2 linked regions of the Lonchura striata genome follow. The protein of the gene in region 2 purifies or fractionates together with the protein of the main gene of each other region. This does not show direct contact. Links are inferred from orthologs where the notes say so. Each region holds a gene or a part of one and is shown on either strand. Other genes may lie near its edges.

Region 1 (7,424 bases), on a different chromosome or scaffold from region 2:
ACAGATAATACTGCAATAACTTTACATGTACTGTAGTCTCCATTTTTATTGAAGATTACTTTCTAATAACTGTCCCTTTACCAGGTCACACAAAAGTTCTTTTAGTACCTGTGGGATGCCAATATAATTTTTGTTTCATGTATGTTAGGCTATTTATCACAGGACTTTACAAAACATTTTTTAAAATTATGGGAATTCTGAAAAAAACAGGGGACAATGCATTGTCACCACACACGCCTCATATCACTGATAACAAACTGTCCTTTCTGTGTCTCTGGAATACTACAATAACAGAAAATCTACCCTGGGCATAAGAGAGGCTCCAAAAGTCTAATTAGAGAAGCTGGAAATCTTGCAAGCTAATGAGGAGATGTTGGAGTTTCTGACATGGCACAGCTACATGGAAGTGTTCCAGCCATGCAAGACGAAGAACTTGCTTTTCTGGAGCCATGATTTGCTGAGAGAAAGCTCCTGGATACTCATCACATCTCTATTTCCTACTTCACAGGGGAACTCTCAAGTAGATGGATCAGGTTGGGAAGCCCATATCCATCACCACTGTCATTTCCACTCTGTTTAATCCTTGGACTTCTTCACACTTTTCTTAGACTCTTATACACCAGGAATTTAATGACCCTGTCTGAGTAAGAGGATAAGCTTTGTTAAAGCAAGATGCACATAGTTTTAGTAAATTTGGAGATAATTCTTTTTGCAAGCTTGCCCTTCTAAGAGGCGTTACATTGAATTTTGTTTTATTAATTCTGTAATATGAATTTTCTAGCATATTATACCCTTCTTTTTTTTAAGTTCATTAAAGAGAAGGATTATGAGAAACACTTTTAGTATCAGAAGTTAAGCCTGATTAATATTTTCTTCAGCAGATTATTACTGCTGCCAATAACAGCTATTACTCAAGGTTACAGAGGACACTGGTAATAATTAGGCACATTAAGAGATATATGAAGGCAGCAATCTGTCACTTGACATTTAGTATAGCCAAAAAGGAAAAAAATAATTCTTTTTAATTTTGATATATAGATTGAACTTTTTGATTACTTAAAAAAGAATCACTCTTTTTTCCACAACATTCAGGATAAATTTCAGAAAGAATAAAGCACAAAGTCCTTTTTTTCCTTTCTGTCACTTACATTTCCTCCTCTAATTCCTCCAGTAGCCTAAGTCTGGTGCAGACTACAATGGATGGATGGATGGATGGATAAGATTAATAGGTCACTAGAAAGCGGTCTAATGTGGTAATGTCCTCTCTATAGCCTAGATTTATCTTCCCTAACCTTAAATAAGTACACACATTTAGAGCACAGCCAATTTGTAATTCTTCAACAGTCAATGAACTGAGAAGCATATTAAGACAAAAATACACTCTGTAGGCTAGTTAAGTTGCTCAAAATTGATGTTCCTCCTCAAATTCTGAAGATGGCTACGTATACTGGTTTTCCTTTTAAAGTGTTGCTCTTCCTTCCTTTTTATGGATTAAAGTTTAGCGCTTCTATAAAAAGTAACAACAGCAGTTAAAGACATATTTTTTCCTATAATTACTTGTTTATTTCTGATAATTCAGATCTTTTCATAACAGACTGAAAAAAGCCAGAAGAACAATTCTTTATTGACAGACACATGCTACGTGTGTCATGAACGTGCAAACCTGGCTGTTGGACTACCCAATTAAAAATACTCTTCAGTGATTTGTTGCTGGCATTTCATCTCCACATCTGTAATTTTTTCCGAAAGACTCAAAATAGTGTATTTTTTTTGCAACAGTGTTGTAATTTTCCACAGTAGAAAAACCCAAACCAAAACAAGTAATTTAAACAGAGGCTCAAGTTACCCTGTTTGAGCTACTTTTGTTTTTCAATATTACTTTAGCACCTCAACATAGCTCTGCAAATCAAGCTGTAGCAGTCTGGTTCTGTGAATGGTGTTCACTAATTTGCTGCTGCTTTTGCAGAGGCAGTACAAGATAGTAGGAATTTTTATTACTGACCTGTAAGCTGGGGTCAATTAGAAAAACCTAAACAATAAAAAACAGGGAAAGCAGTTAATATCTTATTTTTCCATGAATATATTAAAAGTCCTGCAAAGATAAAACTCTTGCATAGAAAACGATTGCTAAAAGCTTTTGGTTATTCTGTCAAGGTTTTGTCTGACTTGGACTCTATCAGGTCCTATTCATGACTCTGTTATTTTCCCACTTTTCTGTGTTGTTTGCTGCACTTTTCTATTCTTTACAGTAGTATTTATTATGAAAGATGTGAGGGGCAGTCCAGCTTCCAGAAACTATCTTTTTCATATAGAATTTTAGATATTATTCTGTCTCAAGCCTCTTCATCTTTCCATCATGCTCTCTGCTGCTCCAGAGTCGGTCCAGGCTATTCACTTGAATTTGTTATTATGCAACAAAGCATTGCTTACAACTGACTTCAGCTGTATTTGGATCTCCTCATCTCCCCAGATGGTCATCTCTGTCCTTAGGCCAGCTGGCAGCAGACCTGGGGCACAGCCACCTCCGACCTTTGTTTGTAACTGAAACACTAAGAAACTGTCACTGGGAAAATAATGCATAAATAAATTTCACGTAGGTTGCAGTTTTGGTTACAATGGTGAATGGCTGCTGGCAAACTAAACACGTATACAGAGAAAATCAGAGAGCATATTTTATAGTTCACATTAACTGTGTCAGATGGCACAGGTAAAAATGCTTGAGATTCACCTAAATACAATTCATACTGAATCTTTCCCAAATTGAACTGCTGCTGAAGAACATGCTGAAGAACATTAATAACTTTTTTTTCAACTGTTTTGTGGATCTAAAGATAGCTACGTTTTGTTTTAAGGTCACAATGCTTACACTGCATTGGATAATACTGTGGCTTTAAAAAACACATAGGAATCCATTACACTAATGTCAATACATTATTAGTATATTTCTTGGGAAAAAAAACATATATTTATTTTTTTAAAGGTGATATGTATTTGTTTTACTCTGTATTTTACATTGTTGAGCTGACAACCCAATTCAAGCTTGTCTTGAGTTCAGCTTCCTGCCTTTAAACAGTACACCCTAATCCTGTCCCAGATTAATTGGTAATCTGTGCCACCTATTGCATCACCTAAGACATCCACTGTGAAAAACACCAATCACTTGTTTTTTTAAATCTTAAAAGTTTATTAGTAATAAAATTAGAGTAATAAAAATTTGGACAATGAGTATTAGGGCACTACAAGACAATAAAAAACAAAGAATTAAGGACATCCGGATGTTTTTGGGCACTAAGATGCCAAAAATATGCCTTGTGAACAAAGGAATAACCCTTAAAAGCAATAGCCTGTTGCATATTCATATACCTCATACATGATGCATAAATTCCTTGCAAATTAAGAATTTTTCTGGTTTATGTCAACTTCTTCCCCTTAATCCTGGTGGTTCCATAAAAACAGAGAAGGTGGAAGAATGTTTGTCTTTTCTGATAAGAGGAAACCTCCTCAGGTTTTGTGTTGCTGCTACCTCTGTGCAGTTTCTTGATTATCTTATCCCTTTTCTTGAGCTAGTAAAAAATATCTTACATTGAATAGTTTCTATTTTAACATTATGTTATAACCTGGAACTATATTTAATACACTACTTAAGAGAATTAATACAGCATAACTTTCTAACATTAAACATATAATATTCATTCTATAATTTGCAAAAGGCTAATAATAAAATATGCATGTTTCACATCCACCAAAAAGAACTGAGCCCTCACGGAGTGCTTGGCAGGAGTCACAAGAGCAGGTGTGCAAATCCTTGCGCACACACCAGGTTTGCTTACGAGGCTGACCCGAGATGGTGTCAAAAGCCTCACAAAGAATCAAGCTGTATCCCATACATCAGACCACTTGTTCTCTCAGAGAGAGAAACTGCTGTGGCTTAACACAGGCTGAATCGGCACAGCCTTCTCCGCGCTTTCTCTCCATTACTTCGAGGGATCTCTAGGTTGGGTATTTATTTGCTGTTGAGCCCTCCAGGAGGGAGCATGACCTTACCAGCCACTCATGCCCCTCCTTCGCAGCAAGGCACGGTGTTTCTCCTGCCAAGACTGCCAGCAGGAGGCCGCTCAGCTGCTGCCCTTTCCCCTCGCTGCTCCCCGATAACTCCAGTCCCTTCCGTGCCCGGCACAGGGAGCGATCCCCGCACCCGCCGCCCGTCCGGGTTAACCCCTGCGGCACCGCGCCCCGCCCCTGCCCCGCTCCCTCCTGCTGGCCCGCCCCCACCCTGACCCCACCTGTCAGTCAATCCGGGCTCGGCCGCGGGGGCGGGGCCGAGCCGGCAGCCGCAGCCAATCGGCGCGCGAGGTGCGGCGGCGCCGCGGCCAATCGGCGTTCCGCTTCTTGGTGGGTGCGCTGGCCGCCGTCGGTGCGCCCCGCCGAGCCGCGGCCCCGCCTGTCGCCGCCGCTGTCGCCGGCGGAGCTGTCGCGGTAGCGGCTGCGCCCCAGCCTGGCCCTGCCCCGGAGTCACTGAGGATGAGCCCCCGCGCTGCCCAGCGAGCGTCCCGCCCTGCCCGCCGGAGTCCATTCATCTAGCGACTGGTGAGGGGCGGGCGTCCGGCGGGGAGCCGCTCGGAGACGGGTCCTGCCGGAGGGGTCGGGACGGCGGCGGTGGGCGGCTGAAGGAATGGGGAGAGCTCCGGGCAAGGCAGCCAGGGAGGCTGAAGGGCAGCCGGCCACGTAGGATGGGAGGAGACCGGCTTCGTGGCTCGGTCGCCTGTGTCAATAGGTCTCTTGTGTCTCTCTTCGCCCCTCGGCTACGTGGACGCTGTAGTGGCAGTCAGAATGGCCCCCTGCCCTCTGCCTGCCCCTGGCTCCTTGAAGCACTTCAGACCTTCCTCCTCCCTGACTCTGACACGCGCTTCTTGCCAGGTTTCCTTAGCTGTGGATTCAGGGAAAGCCTGGCGTGTTTCTCCTTCTTGGTGATACTTGCCTGTTTTTGTAGCAACTCACAGTGCTGCTGAGTTAGACCAGCACCGTAAGCACTGGAGAGCCGCGGTCTCGTAGTTATCTGTAAGGGATACTTCCATGCAGTCTTCCTAGGCGAAATGCAAGTGTTTATTTTTTTGGGTATGTGGTCAGTGTAGTTGTCTATCTTTATGGAAAGTGGTCACAGTTTGTGGTTTACAAAAAATAGTAATCGCCCACCAGCATCTGGTGTGGGTTGTCTGCAATAAAACTGTACCAGAAATTCACAGTTAAATCAAAAACGTCACCTTTTCCTAAGATGGAAAAGTCCTTGGTGATTTTTCGGACATATTTTGAAGTGGGGTGAAGTTCTAGTGCACGCTTGTGGTTTGTTGTGTTTAACTTCCCTTCAGCATTATTGTTTCAATAAAGCCTATAACAAGGTCTTGATGGATTGTGGAAGTGGCTGTAGCTGCATTCACTGTACTTTTGCCTATAGCACTTTAATTTTTTTAAACAGTATTAAGTTATTAAACATAGGAAGTCCTGAGTATTTCTAGACAAGGCACAGCACAGTAGTTCACAGTTTACTGTTTATGTACAATGATTCCCAACTAATAGATGTGCTCTGACGTTTGCAGCTGAATTTAGCTACCAGTGGTACTTTGGTCTTTTTTTGACAGATGTGTCAGCCTTTAATTGACAGTGCTGCTTAGCTCAGCTAGGAGCAACTGAATTAGGGTTGTTGGATTGCTGAATGTCTCATTCTGATAAGGATTATGCTGTTGTTGTTGAAGGAGGAAGTTACAGAAAATCTGGAGAGAGCCTCTGAAGGTCATTTGTTCTGGGGTGTACCTGTGCTGAGTGGTGGCATGGAGGCCCCATCCCAGTAAATGAAGCAGCTTGGATCTGCTGTGACCCAGGGGACACAGTGGGCATGGTGGAATGTGGTGTCTTTCAAAGCAAGTTGGTTTTCCTTTGTAGCTTTACCTCTGGACAGGTCACATTTATTTATAACTTGAGTGGTTTGCTTGTTGTCTAGTCTGTTTTGAGAGCCTCATGTTCAGATTATGTGTCAGGAAGGATTTTCAAATTTGTAATTTGAAAATCCTTCCTGACATATGATCTGAATCTTTTATGGAATTTGTCCACTGTCAGGAGTAAAAGGGACTGGAGTTTTGATGTTTCTTCTTTGTGTAACAGATGCCTTATTCAAAGGCTCTGGGTGGTCTGCTGAAGCCACAGCTGAAGGAGAAAAGAGATCCAATTTGCTTGTACTCAGGGGTTGTTCTATAAACATTCTGAATCCTAGTGGCTCTTTCCAAGCTTTTCTCTATCTACTTGCTGCTCTTAAAACTTGCTATCTGAACTAGAAGCAGGACTCTGATATTTTGTGCATCGAGGAGAGCAGAACCCTTGTTTTTTTGTGTCTCAATGCTCCTATTATATAGTCAAGAAGAAGCTGCTTTTTTAAAGGTCTCTCTGAGGGAATTTCAGGCTGCTAAATCATTATTAGCTACTGCATAGCTTAGATTTACCTTTTTTCCCTTGTACATTCAATTACTTTCCAACCCCTTGAACATTTTGTGTTCAAGGGGTTGGAAAATATAGATTTTTGCCCATTCTTCAACAAATGTACAAGGAATTTCTGAGCAATGTCTGTGACTATGTGACTGTGAACTATTCTGAAACTATCTGTGGATATGTAGTCTGAGCAGGAATTAATAGTCTGACTGTTCTTTAAAGGCTAGGACAATGTGCTACCTGTACCTGAAAGGTATACTTGCTTTGTTTGTCTAGGAATTCATCTGTGTTTCCTTGAGGATATCTTGCTTAATGCCAGTGCAAAGGCTGTTGTATTACTACCTAGCCTCAATTTTCTAGTCAATTTGTCAGATTCTAAACTGTTACTTTAATATGTATTAGTGAAAGTTGCCTTTAGGTAAGAATACAGTCAACAGAAAGTCCTGGAAAAGTGGTAACATGATGGCAAATTCCCATGGCATTATTTCTGTAAGCTGTTTTTTATTAGCTTACTATTCAAGTAGTCTGTGTAGTGAAGTTTGCTTTAGGTACAAATATTTTAAGGACTTCCGTGCTGTTATGGTTACTGGTCTTTTGTGGTTTTATGAAACAAATGCAAATGGACCAACATGGAGATATGTCAGCACACTTGTTTAAAAACCAATCCCCTTCCATTCCACAGTGGAAATATTTAAGATACTGCTATACCCTTATAAGGATAGACGTAACTTTCCTGAAATGTGTGGTGTTGCCAGTCTCACTTCACTTAGCAACTTACTATGGAAAGGAAAAGAAAATTAATTTAGTACCTTCAGAAAAAGTATTATTTTTACTTTTTTTTTTCTTTAAATTTTAAAGAAAGGGTGTTAGGATTGACAAGGAAAGCTCTATGCTTCTTTTATATGAAAAATAGAAACCATTGCTTAGTTCTGTTTTGGGAGAGCCAA
Region 2 (7,447 bases):
TTGCTACTATTTAACTGACAGCACAGAGCGTGGGTCCAGCTGGAGCTCCCTGCACAAGCACACGGGAAGGACAGGGAGTGCTCAGGACAGGAGTGAGCTCTCTTGAGGCAGGAGCTCAGCCCGTCACAGGAATAGCCTTTCTCTCTGGCCCAGAATCACTCACCAGACCTGTTCCAGAAGGGAAACTAGTGCACAAGAAAAGACGATACATCCTTTGCATCACTCAGCAGAGTTCCGGACGAGTCTTTTTGAGGCTGCAGTTCCAGCCATTTTAAAGCAGAGAAAAACAATTAGCAAAAAACTTCAGAGGAAAACACCAGAACCTTGATCTATTTTGGATGTGAAAGGAGGTTATTAACCTCCCCTTGGATCAGGGTCCATATACAGTCATGAGAGGAACAAACACAGAGCAGCAGGAAGGCTGGAAGAGTAGAGCTTCAGCCAGCAGCCACAACTCCACCACCAATGCTTACAGGGTGACCTCCAGTGGGATCAGTAAGACATGACAAATTTCCAAGTTACATGAAGTTACATCTTTATTTTAAAGCCATCTTTGCGCATTTTCAAGGAGCAGAAAGGGGAAAGAACAGGATCCTTTGGAGCTTCCTATTACCACCACCCCAGGACAGCTGCAGAGCCACAAGATTTCAGGCTGGCTACAGCGTGAGTTGACTGCTGCCTGTTTGGAGAGAACCAGGACCGCCAGCTCTGCTGAGCCAAGGAGCTACATGCACATGATGCCAGAGCTGTATCCTGGCACTCCTACATTCAACCCCCTCAACAGGCTCAGCAGAAGGATTCTTCAGGCACAGAAATGGCTGGCCCAGCCCTGTGCCCTGCTGTCTGTACACTTCATGAGCCCAGGTGATGCAGGCAGCTGCCTGAGGATTCCAGATCAGGTCCTGTCTCCCCTCTGTACTGGTCAGAGCAACCTGCACCTGGCACACAGACAGGTGTCTGTCCCGCTGCCTGGGCTGCTGCACACCCAAGCACCTGAAACCCCACTGGGTTAGCAGTGCTTCTCTGGGGCTCACTGACAGCACACCAACTGTTCTTGCTCAAGAAGAGGCAATTCCCATCTTCCACGATCCCCTAAGGAGTACAGCCTGGCAGCCCCTGGCAAGGGAACTTGTCAAAACACATTTTCAGACAGCTATCATCACACCCAGTTTAACAGTCTGCTCCTCCTGCCCTCCCCTCACACCTCTGTGAACCCCTGTGTTCAGCAGCAGCCGTGCAGCCACAGCCCCGGGCTGGTTTCTGCAGCTCCCCTGAACCACGTGCGGATCTGCCGCCTCAGGGCCCCCACGGCATTCCCCTGGTGGAGCGAGGGTGCTTCCCTGTGCTGGCAGCTCCCCGGCCTCCACCCTGCTTCCTCTTCATCTGGCCCTGTGATTCTGCTTTCAGTGTCTCAGTCCAGAAGGCATCAAAAGATCCTGGGGCCTGGTATCCTGACTCCTGAGGATCCAGGGCATCTTTGCTCAGCAGGACACATATGGCAGGAATGTTTCTCTTCACTGTCAAGGCATCGAGGCCTGCCTCAGGCACAATGGGTTCCCAGATTTCTTCAATCTGTTTGAAGAGCACTTTGGTGATCTGGTGCAGCTCCTTGAGCCTTCGTTTCATGATTTCCACACAGGTAATGGTCTTGCTAACAGCCTTGCCTGAGCCAGTGAAAAGAATCTGCCTCACTGAGTCCTGCTCCATCTTGCTCATGGCATAGCCCATCAGATTCCTAATTTTGCTCCCGTCCTTCACCTTCATTTCAATAATATCAGCAGGCAGGTCAGTGAAAGGAGGAGGACAAGGTTTCTCCACAATTTTGGTCTTCTTATAGTTCTCCATTCTGCAATGCTGAAAAGGAAAACAGACCCATGAACACACTGCCCACTCTAATTGCTGCCCAAAGAAACTCTCACCACATTTAGCCACAAGCTTTTCTCTGAAGGGCACTCTGAACTATCAGGGTTGGGAAATCCTGGAAAGGGACAACCAAAATATTAGCCCAGTCCTCTTAAGGACATACTTACAATATGAATGATACCACAGGGCAGCCTGAGTTTTGGCAAGCAGGCTGTGAAAAAAGCAAGTGTTAGTGTTGTGGGCTTAACCATGGTGACATGAAAACACTGCTGTATCTCAAGAGAAGACAGAACAAAAAGTGAGCTGGGGTGACTGAGAACAGAACTCGGGGATGCTTGCCACACCAGAACATGCACAGGACAAATTCAAGCACAATTTACATGCAGCAAGTCGTGTACAAATACAGGCTCATGGAGACCTGACCAGCCTAGCTGAGGCTAAAACACTGCATGTCACAAGGGAGATGGCAAGCCAGGGGTTGCAGGAATAAAAAAACATTTCCTCGAGGGAAGGACAGAAAGGCCAGGCCTCGCAGCTGCCGTCTGTGCCAAGGCAGGTGCCATCCTGTCCTAGGTCTGCTTGACCCTGTGCAGGGCAGCCCACGTCCCCACCGCACAGCTCAAGGGGCTGAAGGTCGCAGTACTTTGTTACCCGCAGGCTCCTGAGTCCCGCTGCGCCCAGACCCTGCACCCCGCACCGCGTCCTCCTCGGCACACGCTCCGAACCCTGGGAGCACACGAGGCCCGGGCCCTCACGCGGCCGCCGCCGCCATCGGAGCCCGGGGCGCCGGGGGGAGCCGGAGAGCGCCGGGGGGCGCCGGGGGGAGCCGGAGAGCGCGGCGGGATGCGGGAATGCCGGTGGGAGCCAGGGAGGTCCCGGACGGGCGCGCGGAGCCCGCGCTCACCTGCGGCCGCCGCAGCGCGCGCCTCGACACAAGATGGCGGCCGGCGCCGGGCGCGCGCACGCGCGAGGCGGGCGGGGCCCGAAGGAGGCGCGCGCCAATCGCACGGCGGTGACAGCGGGGGCGGGGCGAGCTGCGGGCCCCGCGCGGCACGGCGTCCCCAAACCTAACCCTAAACCCTGACCCTAAACCTCTCCATAACCCTGACCCTGACCCTAAACCTCACCCTAACCCTGACCCTAACCCTAACCCCAACCCTGACCCTAACCCTCACCCCAACCCTAACCCCAACCCTAACTCTGACCCTGACCCTAAACCTCACCCTAACCCTGACCCTAAACCTCAAGCTCACCCTAACCTCAACCCTAACCCTAACTCTGACCCTGAACCTAACCCTGACCCTAAACCTCACCCTAACCCTAACCCTCACCCTAAACCTCAACCTCACCCTAACCTCAACCCTAACCCTAACCCTCACCCCAACCCTAACGCTGACCCTGACCCTAAACCCTGACCTTAGCCCTGGCCCTAAACCTCACCCTAACCTTGACCCTAACCCTCACCCTCACCCCGATCCTAACCCTGACCCTAACCCTCACCCTGACCCTAGCCCTGACCCTAAACCTCACCCTAACCCTGACCCTAACCCTCACCCTAACCTCAACCCTAACCCCGACCCTAACCCTCACCCTGACCCTAAACCTCAACCCTAACCCTGACCCTAACCCTCAACCTAACCCCAACCCCGACCCTAACCCCGACCCTAACCCTGACCCTCACCTCAGCTCCTCGGGCAGCTGCAGGGAGCGGGGCTTTTCCGCAGGCCTGCAGCCCCACCGTGGTTTGACAGCCAGCGAGGCTGCTGATCAGAAACAGCTCTGGGACCGGCGAGCTCTTCTGGAATTCCTGTGGGCATTCTGCCCGTTCCTGCAGGACTCCCAGGGTCACACTCAGCTGGGCAGTGTTTCACCGACCTGAAGGGTTTGAGACCCTTGCAAAAGTATGGCCTTGGAAACTCCATGCTACAGCCAGACCAGGCAAGGCATGGCCTATGCCTCCCTCTAGAAAGGCAAAGAGCCAGAACGGGCCTTAGACTGCAGCAGCCTCAGGAAAGCAGAGGCAGGATAAAGGCAAAAGCTGCTACCTTCTCTCAGCACACAGATAGGAGAACAGCAAGGCAGAAAAGATCCCTAAGACCAGATTCTCCTGGGCAGACAACTCACACAAACAGGAAGAGTGTGGAAATGGTTTCCCTGCCCTTGGCCCAAGGCTGAAAGGAACCACTAGCCGTTTCCTGGAGGCTGCAAAGAGATCACTGCCTGGGGAAATATCCCCAGTCTGTGCCAGGAGCAGTCCTCACACTGAGGGAGAGACAGACAACCCAGTTAGCATTCCAGGACTTTACTATGGCCCACAGTAAGCACAGAAATGGGGTTTTGAAATACATTAAAACTGAGATGCATTTCAGAGAAATAAAAGATTTGCAAACAGTGGCAGATTAAGGAGCAGTGTGGCTTTGACTGGCGGCTGGCACAGTTCTGCACAGAGCTGGGTGCTCCAGGATCCTGCTGCGTCACTTCAGCATGCTCGCACCAAGCAGGAAGGAGCTGAGACCAGCAGGATGCAAGCTGTGCCACAGGGGCTCTGGACATGCCACTCTCCCAGCTCTGCCATCACTCTGCCACAGGTTTTGCTTGTTTGGCCACTTCCAGGCGTGTCAGGATTTCATTCCACTGCACAAACTGCTTGGAGAGAAGCAAAGTCTGGACACAACACTTAAGGAAAGTTATGTGGAAACTGTGAGGAAGAAACCTAGGTCAGAGCATCCTGACAGCACCATTACAATTTTGATTCCTTAGGAGAGGCCCAGGGCACCAAGGCACTTCATGGATTCACTCCACCCAGTGGCTGAGCCACTGCACAGCACCATACACCCATGGGAGTCCAGGAGGTACTTTGTGAACTCCACACACCACCGCCATGCAAGGGCTTTCCACAGCTTCCCTACCCACTCTGGCTTTGGGATGTGCCTCAGCATTGGGATCCTTCGCAGCCAGGACAGTGACATAGGTGTCACCCCATCAGAAAGGCTGTTAAACCCCAGGCTGGAGATGCAATGGGATCAGCCAGGGGAAGGAGTCAGTTCAGGAGTTCCAGGCATTTTAAAGGATACCATTTTGTTGTAATCCTCAAGGAGTGTCTTGACACTGTCAGTGAGATCGTGACGCTTCTCCTGTGAAGAGGGGAGCCGCAGTGCATGATCAATAAATAAGGTGAACAACATACCTCCCTTCCCAGTCCACGACAGCATGGCAGGAAACTCATCCAAGGCCAGCACTGAGATCAGTGCTCAGGCCCTGGCTGTGGTGCCCACTGCAGCTGGACAGGTTTTCACAATTAAGAGAAAACTGACAAACACTGGTCCCATGAAGCAGCAAACCCCCCAGGCTTGCACTGCTGCTTGCCTTTCCTCAGTATCCAGGCTTTGCTTGCCCCGGAACAGAAACTCAGAACAAAATGCTGAAAGAGACCATTAGGAACTGCCCAGGCTGCTCACTGCCAGCTCCAAGAGTGCTCATACAGGGAGGGAAAGGGTGAAGGGACAGGCTGACAGTGTCAACAACGTTCCAGAGAGTAGGACACTGGAGGAGAGCAATGCTTCACCTCAGAGTCTCAGTAAAAGGGGGAATTCAAGATGGTTAAACCAAATGTCCCTTACTATGTGTCACTGAAAGCTGTTTTGAGCAGGGTTATGGTGGGCAAATTTCCAACTTGGACCAAATTCACAGAAATCCTGGCTCCTTTTTCCCCTAGGAGTACTTAAAACTTCTTTAAGACTGTAGTATGAAAATTCAGATTGCAAAGAACTGCCATAAATGAGCAATTCAAGCAATTACAAATACTGGGTGTCAGTACAGCCACTTGTAAAAGGTTTCTAGGCCCTTCTACTCAATACTTATAGGAATGTTCACGGTACCTGCTGCTGTATGTGGATCTGTGAGAGCCTCTGCAGTTTGGCTGCATGGTCAGGAACCGCTGGAAGCACAAAAGAGAAATCAGTTTGGGCTGTTTTACAGCACATGGGATTAGCTCCCAACGTAAACCCCAGTCTTCCTCCATGAGCACAGCATGGCAGAACTCCACTTGCTGAGTGCAAGTGTCCCACACTATAGATAAAACTCACAGAGGATAAAAAAAATTACATAACTATCCTGCACATGGCACAAGCTCAGGGATGCCCACAGCGAGGGCTACTCACGAAACACACGGGACTAAACCACTGGCCAGAACAGATATTCTGGATGTAAAACAGCTCACAGGAAGGAATGACCTGCCAGGCTCCACCCCCTCTGCCACAGTGCTCTCTTTAGCCTGCTTCACAAGCTACTCTATCACCTCCATGACTTTGCAAGGGAGACTAGGGCAGCATGTGGCAGGAGCAGACTAACTTTGTACTCAGTTTACTTTCACACCACTAAGCTGTCTTCTTCTCTAGTCTCAGACTCAAGAGAAAAGAAAGCAAGCAGGACAGGCCACAGCTTAGCAGGTGGCATTTGCAGCTCCAGCTTGCAGAACATGCATACCTTGGATACTGGTGCTGTCCAAGATAGGCTGGAGGTTCTTCACTTGCTCCAGAAGGGCTGCACGGGCAGGAATAGCCTGTTCCTCTGGTTGTGTGGGGACAAGAAGCAACATCAGTAAACACAAAACACTGCTCTGGCTTTTCACTAGTGGTAATTTTCCCAGCTGATCTGTCTTTACAGAAAGGATTCATGATTTTTCATCACTTTTGTGCTGCTCATCCCTGGGTCTTGACTGACACCAATTTCAGGCAGGAGAATCTCCACCACGTTCTAATGATAGGACAAGGAGTGTACAAATGGAAAGAGGGGAAATTTAGGCTGGATATTAGGAGAAGATTCTTTACTGTGAAGGTGCCCAGGAGGATGTGGATGCTCCATCCCTGGCAGTGTTCAATGCCAGGTTGGATGGAGTCTGAGCAACCTGGGAAAGCTGGGGAAGGTGGATTGGGACTGGATGGTCCTTAAGTTCCCTTCCACCCCCTTAACATTCCGTGATTCAGTGGAATTCCACTGACAGATTATACTGGTCACGGGTTGATCAAACTCCTTGGGTCAAGAGAGGACAAGGCTAGGGGATGTCAAAACACACCCAATTGTCCCAGCCTGGAGAATACTGAAGTGGGGTAAGGAAATCATCCTAGCTCCCGCTTTTCTTACCAGCCTTTGATGAATTTGGGGCTAAATTGAATGATCAATACAGAAGAGATCAGAGCTGACAAAACTGCAGTGTGGCTGTGCACAAGGGAGCACTGAGGGTGACAGACACCCTTGTGCAAACCATCTCTCTGATACCTCCACAGGGCCTGCCGTGCCACATTTTACCACTGAAGAAAATAAATTCATCCTGACCCATCTTAGAGAAAGGATGCTTTATTTGCAGTGCTACAAAAGCCTCCTCTTTCCCCTCATCTCATACCTGCCAAGATGAACTGCAGCTTCATAGTGTCTGGAACAGCCATCCTGTCAATGTACTGGGGGTCAAGGTATTTTATTATATCTTCAACTGGAGGGATAAATAGGTTTGGAGACGAAAAGTAGGGAGATGTTATGGCATTCATAAGAGCAGCATTTCATGGAGAGCAGATCCTGACATGGGCAG

The links.
Region 1: the proteins of RPP25L (region 2) and IBTK purify together in Homo sapiens (co-immunoprecipitation; 3 studies listed by BioGRID and IntAct, with this or other methods). This does not show direct contact. The link is inferred for Lonchura striata from reciprocal best matches to the Homo sapiens genes RPP25L and IBTK.

The regions. Positions count from the first base shown.
Region 1 is NC_134605.1:80,675,945-80,683,368, forward strand, and holds the start of IBTK (inhibitor of Bruton tyrosine kinase), read left to right. Parts: upstream 1-4,407; 5' UTR 4,408-4,587; intron 4,588-7,424. UniProt on the Homo sapiens protein: Acts as an inhibitor of BTK tyrosine kinase activity, thereby playing a role in B-cell development. Down-regulates BTK kinase activity, leading to interference with BTK-mediated calcium mobilization and NF-kappa-B-driven transcription.
Region 2 is NC_134642.1:40,931,717-40,939,163, reverse strand, and holds RPP25L (ribonuclease P protein subunit p25-like protein), read right to left. Parts: upstream 2,827-7,447; 5' UTR 2,768-2,826; intron 2,603-2,767; exon of another isoform or gene 2,515-2,602; intron 2,306-2,514; exon of another isoform or gene 2,027-2,305; intron 1,855-2,026; 5' UTR 1,846-1,854; coding exon 1,297-1,845; 3' UTR 511-1,296; downstream 1-510. Other genes in the region: DCTN3 (dynactin subunit 3), read right to left, coding at 4,438-4,527, 4,938-4,997, 5,742-5,800, 6,349-6,432, 7,265-7,351. UniProt on the Homo sapiens protein: May be a component of ribonuclease P or MRP.